Tribolium castaneum: one gene and its partner. The protein of the gene in region 2 interacts with the protein of the main gene of each other region in a pairwise test. Links are inferred from orthologs where the notes say so. Each region holds a gene or a part of one and is shown on either strand. Other genes may lie near its edges.

Region 1 (3,755 bases), on a different chromosome or scaffold from region 2:
GTGGCTTGGAGAGCAGTTATGTTGAGGTTTTTCAGGGCGCGCACCGAGACTGAGGCCACGTAAGCGTCGCGGCGCGAATCGATGTCGTCGAACCGGCGCAATGCCACGGCCATATCGATCACCACAATGCGACACGATTATTTTTATAGCGCACGCCACTGCTCGCCCGGAAAATTACAAACCCCGCAAACACGCCTCCACTGGTTTATTTGAACAGACCGCGCAGTCACGTGACACCAGCGCTGCCTTCGTACAAAAAAAAATAAAAAGCGTGCTCGATTGTTTATGGAAATTGGATGTTACGTCATGCTTTTACTGCAAAAATCGAACTGATAACGCTATCACCTACCTTTGTGGCTTACTAAAGTCATATAAAATGGTAGCGCCCTTCTGGACGATGACTCCCACAGAAGCAAAAACTAAAGAAAAAGGTCCGTTCAAGGGTCGATCAAGGAAAGTGTCCGGCTGGAGTTTGCTGCAAAAACACCGAGTTTGATTTATTTTTAGGCAGAAAAAATAAGCAAAAAGTATGCATGTAACGTGATCTCACCTTTTATTTGTAGCACCTTCCACGGACCATCTATGACCGAATTAACGCTCAAACAATTAGACGACACGTCAGACAAAGTACTAAACTAATTAAAATGCCAGTTTGAAGGCACAATTGGGGGAAAAACCAACAACACAGCTAAATTGCTGCTACTTTACTGAATCGCCATATGCAGATAGTCGCCTGACTTTTCGACGAACTCACAGGTGCGCACCCGCAACCGGACAAAACTTAAATCCCTAAATTGACACGAAAAAATCGGCTAAAACGGGCTTTGCCCTCTAAATTTGTCCACAGTCGTTTCGGCAAAGTGTTTAATTAATTACTGGGGTGTGTTTTGCAAGCCAGAACCCTGATTTGTGTTACTTTAACCCGGCTTAGTGGCACCCGGTAGGTGGCGCCCCTGATTTGGCAATCATCTGTCACTCTTCTAACACTGAGAGAAAAAGGAATGAGAAGAGAGTTATCAAAAGCGCAGCCATTAATGTCAGAAGAAAGTGATTGCAGTGTCAAAAATAGCCCAATTTGAGTGTTTTAACGCTTGGCTGCCAAATAAAGGTGAGTAAGCGTCCCCCCGATCGTTTGGGGGCACAGTTCAAGTGTCGGTGTCCTTCCTTCCGTTGGTCAATTTTTGTGATTTATTTATGTCGCAGGTTACGCTATGGTCTACTGATTGCCATAGCAGGTGAGCAGTGCATTCCCGTGGCATGGATGATAGCAACACGTAAGTATTTTTCAATCGTCACGCTTGGCAAAGTAACGAGGAAGCGCCCCTGTAAAAATCGGGCGTGAGTCACGGCTCGGAGTGTACGCCCCCGCCGTCACACGTGTATTGGTTTCCGATCGAAAGGGGTGCAAATTTCTGATGGGGTTCGTCGGGCTATGGGGCGCAGGCGCGGCGTCGCGACGCAGTACGTTTGATGCACCGACGTCAGTTTTCGCGTTTTTACCGAAAGTGGCACACCCTTTTTCGAGCTATGGGGTGGAAAGGGAAGGCGGCGTGATGTTCTAGGGGGCCTTATTATTGATTGCGGGGGTGATCGTTGACCAAAAATATATTTTTGCATTGTCTCATATTCCGTCTTGTGATAACGCCTTGCACTTTTACAATAATCAAAAATATAAATAAGGTTTTTGTATAGACGCTCAATTTAAACGATCGTGAGGTGATGAACGAGGTGCTCATTGGAATTAAGAGGACGCATTCGAAAAAACATGTCTAAAACGATCAACGCGTATAGGATGTAAGTTGGTTTTGTTTTCAGTTCAAGCTTTTGTGTTCTTGTGGCGGTCTTGCTTGCCTTTCGTTTGTGCTACTTGAAATCCGGCGTTTTTTCTACAAATTTCTAACCTAATTGTGGCATAATTCCGCCGCCACTTCCTTGAAGTTGTCGTTTATTTCCAGTAAGAAAATTGAAAGTTTGGGAAAAATGACGGCGATGTCGCAGGAAGAGATCGTCTCAGCTGTGCGAACGGTGGCTCAGGGGTTGGAGGCGCTCCGCTCAGAGCACGCCGGCATCCTCCATGGCCTCCACGAAGCCCCCGATCCGGTGGCCAATGAACGCGCCGGTCTGGTGCAACAAAGTGCAGAAATGATCGAATTGGGACTGGGAGAAGCGCAAGTATGTTCTATTTTTCTTTCTAATCAGATAAAATCGTCGGTGTGTGAGAGACGAAAGGGGCACCCGATTGCATCGATCGGGGAGCACCGATGACTCATACTAAGGCGAGTGGGGAGGGAAGGAAAAGGAAGGAGAGTGTCGAAGCCAATTGATGACTTTCTAAAATTGGATTTAATTTATTTTGTCGCGGTTCTATTATTTTCGACGGGATTTCAGATGCCAATCGATTATAATTGGAGGATTAAGATAAGAGATTGGGTTGTAATAAACCATGAAATGATTGTTTGTTTGTTTTGAATGAGAGATAAAAAAGAAATGGCGGCCTAATTCCGGGTTTAATTTGTTTTATTTGAAAAAAAAAATAAATAAATAATTAAAAATTGTGAAAGTCGTACTTGGATTACGAGTTGTAGAAACTAACAATTATTTAACTGTAACAAACCATGCAATTTAAAAGTTAAATGGTAAATTTGACCTAGAACTTGAAGTTTTCTTCTATAATTACAGATAAAAATACCTGATTAAAACTGAAAAAAATCTTCTTATAAGTCAGTTTATACCGGTCTTGAGTAAATTACATATGATATTATTTCACAACCTACCCAAAAATTATATTGTCATTAGATTGTGTACCCACGATTTTAATTAAAAAATTTAAAAAATAATTATTGAGACCAAAGTACAATATTCAGTTTTATTGTTGATTGTTCATAAAAATCTCATTTGCTTGTAATAACGTCATCACTGTCATTACATGCATAAGAATAATAAGTTTGGTGATGAGTTTATTCATGAATTTGCTTCAATAATATTCACAATACTTCCAAGTGTCTTAAATATCTTTTGAATGATACTTTTGAAGGTGACGAAACAACAATTATTATTGTTAAATCATTATACTTTTACCATATTTCTTAACAAAAATTGGGTGTTTACAAATTAAAATCTGTATCAATTAGACTTTCTTTCTGCTCATCGAGCTTTAAATCTCGTGGGATGATTATTGATGATGTTTATTGCGGTTTTTATGTCCTCACCCTATCCTTTTGTTTTTCTATTTCCACGTTTTTTATTCAAACGTTGTTTTTCGTTCTTGGTTTCCAGGAAAAACAAGTTTTTATGGCTTTGGTTATAGGGCTGTAAAAAACTTGGTGCCTCAAGTATGTTCGATATTTTTTGTATAACATGATGGCCTGTTTCGGTAAATAATTGTTAAATTAACACTAAAAAGTTCTTCGTTTGGCAGCCTGTAATCAAATTAATTTAAGCCGATCGTAAAATTGAGATAATTTCATCGTCTTATTGTAGCAAGTGTCATAAAAATAATTCGCTTTTGTTTGTTAATTTACTTATTAAACTGAATTTTTTCTTTCTGACATAATTAACTCCTGCTGATGCCTGATTTTAAAAATGAAACCACTGACCACAAAAATACAATAATTATAGTCTCTTGTAACGAAAAAAAGTCGCGTGTTCGAACTGTCCTTGGACAAGTCTCCTCACTGATTTTTTAAATTGTTACTCAAAATCAATGAAAGTAATTAAATTTGTGAATTTAAACACCGTGAAAGGGATTTTGCTTC
Region 2 (3,755 bases):
ACAACAGTTAAAAACATGCATTTTTTATGTTTAATTGTTGTTTTTACACAGAAAGTCAAAGGAAAATTATTCCTTGCATTTATAAAAATCTAACAACGAATCCGCCACATATGAAGTGTCTCTTCACTTTGGATTTTCAACGAATGGCTGCTTTCAATGTGTGGGATAAGTTACGTGATTCGATCAGAGTGGTCAGTGCGGAAAAATTCAAAGTTAACAGGTATTGCCTACTTGATTTTTGTTACTTTGAATAAAATTTTTGATCAAGTAGACTTTGACTGAAATTAAGTTGGTAACATTTGCTATCGTCTGTTTTTAAGGTAAGGCTGTTTTTTCACTAACACACTAAATATTTGATTTTTGGGTTGATTTCCTGCAATTTTTTGCATATTTTTGTGTTGAATGTTCGAAAAAGTAAAAAATAAACCCATTTTCTAATCATTTCGGCGATTTCTGGATTCAATTTACCATTTACTACATAATTATTGAACAGAATGTTCGGGGAAATACTCAAACGACTTAAGTTCAGTGTTGGCAACTTAATTTCAGTCATAGACCACTTCGATTAGAGTTCAATTAATTCAATGCGAGTGTAATTGCAGGTCCCAATCCGACAATGGTCAAGTGTTGAGGTCCGCTTTACATCAGAGGGACCCTATCGGTCTCAGACCGTTAAATCACGGCGTAAAATTTAGCAGTAGTGTAGGTGATTTGAAAAGCACAGAGGCTATAAGCGAACCACCGCTCAATCCCAGTACAAGTGCCGACAATTTAGAATCGTGTTCGGAACAGAAAAAAGAGAAGAAAACCACTTTGTTGAAAAAAATCAAAGGCCATTTCAAGCGAGATAAAGATTGCTCATCCAAGGCGGAAAAAGGAAGCAAAGGATTGAAGAAACACTTGAAGCGAGCCACAGCCGTCGCGAACTGATGCATTTTATTTGTGATTTGTGTAAATAAGTGCAATTATTTTTAATAAATATGATTGAATTTGTTGTGGGGATTTTCATTTTGTCACCAAACCCTAGTTACTGCGCAAAATATGATTTGGCAACAAAGCAGTGGCAAAAATGACAGTTGTTCCTCCAGCCCGATTTTTGTCATCATAAACAGTGGGTGTAACAAAAAATCGCACACTTTTCCATCACCAGTGCCCCCAGAATGTGCCCCACGTTGTAAAATCATCACAACACAATGTTCCCTCAAGTGACAATGTGCTATTCTTGATTGGGCAAAAGTAGGTTGAATAGTTGGTTAAATAATGGATTTGGCTGACTCCGGCGGTGGTCTTGGACCCGAGACCATCTACGGGACGCACGAGGACTCCCATGTGGTGATGTCGGAGAAGGTGCAATCGTTGGCTGGTAGCATCTACCAGGAGTTCGAACGAATGATCGCACGCTACGACGAAGACGTCGTCAAGACCCTCATGCCCCTGCTGGTGAACGTGCTGGAGTGTTTGGACGCGGCGTATCAACAGAACCAGGTACTTGACTCAATTTTAGTGAATTTAAACCGAGAGTTTGGTTAGGAGCACGACGTGGAGCTGGAGCTGCTCCGCGAAGACAACGAGCAGTTGGTCACGCAGTACGAGCGCGAGAAGGGGGCGCGCAAAGCCGCCGAGCAGAAACTCCTAGAGTTTGAAGACGCCGCCGAAGGGGAGCGCAAGGAGTTGGCCGCACGGCTCGAAGCGCTGGAAAGCATCGTCAGGATGCTGGAGCTGAAGCACAAGAACTCGATGGAGCATGCGGGACGTTTGGAGGAGCGTGAAGGGGAGTTGAAGAAGGAATACGCCAAGTTGCACGAACGCTACACCGAGTTGTTCAAAACACACATGGACTACATGGAGCGGACGAAGTTGCTGCTTTCTGGACAACAGCTGGCCAATGAGCGGGCCGAAGCCGGCCGTTTGAACTCGAATCGGATTAATATAGGGCGCAGTTCGGGGCCCATCTCCTTCGGGTTCACCTCCTTGGAGAATGCCGAGGTGGTGGACAGTGTTCCGTCGTCGCCGATTAGTAGTACGCATTCGTCGCCGAGTTTGCACAGCGAGTTGGATAATTTGGACAAGAAGATGGTGGAAAGGGGGCAAGAGACTGATTCGCTCAATTTGGAAAATAAAAGTGTGATAACATCGCCGGTGAGTCCCCCAGGTCAACCGACAACTAACAATAATACGGGGAGGTTGAAGAAGGAACAAAGGAGTGGGAACACGTTGTATCAAGAGTTGAGTTTTCAGGTTGGTTGATTGTCTTTTGCTAAGGGTCAGTGCACATGATGGGGTCAAAGAGCGTGAATTATCGGGCGTTTGAGAGATTTTAATGTTTGTTGATTTATCTCACCTTGGGTAAAATATCAAAGCTTTTATGCAAATATTTACAAGAAATAACAAAAGATTAACTATGTTTTTTTATTATTATTATCTTGTTGTGTGTTGTAATATCTGTTTTTTTTATTATTTTATGATAGGATGTGGATGGCGATGATGATGGTGACATAACCGGAGGTTGGGTCCATCCAGGTGAATACGCTTCATCAGGTAAGCATATACAGAGTGACTGGGAAAAAGCATGAAATTTTTTCACTACTTTTGGCTCGCACCTCATTTTTTGACAAGAAAATCATAATAATTTATGCCAAATAAATAACTGCTACAGAAACACAATTATTACGTTAAAAAGTAAAAACAAAATGTGAGTTAACAGTTTTCGGACACTTTATTGATAAAAGATTAATTTCAAGCTATTTAAATTTTGTAGGAGAGAATCGTCTGTCTTCTTATGAATTAGTTTGTCGCCTTTCAATTTGCGATTACGTAAAATTTTCCTGTTGAACAAAGTGTAAAAAACCGAAAAAAATAGTTAAGTCACTATCAGCGGATGTATTATGAAACGTTTATTTTGTCTGTTTCCTCAATTTACTCGATTGTAGAACAAAATCTTTTAATGTATTCATAAACTAATATATTCAATTTCGGATACGAATATTTCTGGTCGTGGTTTGCTGTGGTTTTCTCTTTCTAGCATGAACGTAGGTTGCGTGATAAGTTGATTTGGTTTTCTGTCAACTGTTTAAATGTTGTCTTATTTTTGCATTTAGGAGTTTTTGATAAAAATCATATTGAAAATCATCATAATTGTATGTAGGCGTTTAAGAATTTTCTCTGCAAGCTCAATTGAACGTGTGAATTTTTGGCCTGACACTGACAGCTGTCATTTGTCATTGTTTTGTAATGTTAACCGAGACATACGTTTTTTGCTTTTTTAGAGTTTTTGTTTTTTTCTAGAGCAATAATATAAAAAAAAACTTCTTGTAAAACTGAATTCGGTGTATTACCAAAAAATTTACAAAAAACAAAAACAAAATTTGCCCAAATTGTGTTCCACATTTTTCAGGACAATGAAAATCTTTCAAAAAAATTAATATTTATATTTAAAATTTGAAAGCTTCACGCTAGTATAATTAATAGAAACAAGTCTAATAATTTCGGGTAATAAGCATATTTTTTTATCGAAGCACCAAATAATCAGGACTCATTTTTATCTTGAATTTTCGAGGTTTCGGTCAAGGTTCATTTCAATATCGCATATAAATCAAGCTCTGAAAATGCTTATCTACATTTTCGTCAATTTCAAAACTCTATTCTGGTCAAAGTGTCAAAAAATTCCACAGAAATTTTGAAATTTCTACATAAAATGTAACGAAAATTAACTATTTCTCTTAATTTTTGCTGGAAATTCCGAATTCACCTCTTGA

Evidence for each region.
Region 1: the proteins of syd (region 2) and Klc interact in binary tests that used the Caenorhabditis elegans proteins (3 or more experiments, as listed by UniProt). The link is inferred for Tribolium castaneum from reciprocal best matches to the Caenorhabditis elegans genes unc-16 and klc-2.

Annotation. Positions count from the first base shown.
Region 1 is NC_087402.1:3,660,433-3,664,187, forward strand, and holds the start of Klc (kinesin light chain), read left to right. Parts: upstream 1-1,231; 5' UTR 1,232-1,257; coding exon of another isoform or gene 1,258-1,274; intron 1,275-1,692; 5' UTR 1,693-1,765; coding exon 1,766-1,794; intron 1,795-1,955; coding exon 1,956-2,172; intron 2,173-3,755. UniProt on the Caenorhabditis elegans protein: Kinesin is a microtubule-associated force-producing protein that may play a role in organelle transport. The light chain may function in coupling of cargo to the heavy chain or in the modulation of its ATPase activity.
Region 2 is NC_087394.1:36,807,954-36,811,708, forward strand, and holds the start of syd (JNK-interacting protein 3), read left to right. Parts: upstream 1-1,063; 5' UTR 1,064-1,260; coding exon 1,261-1,485; intron 1,486-1,530; coding exon 1,531-2,238; intron 2,239-2,468; coding exon 2,469-2,538; intron 2,539-3,755. Other genes in the region: myeloid differentiation primary response protein MyD88, read left to right, coding at 52-220, 603-930. UniProt on the Caenorhabditis elegans protein: The JNK-interacting protein (JIP) group of scaffold proteins selectively mediates JNK signaling by aggregating specific components of the MAPK cascade to form a functional JNK signaling module.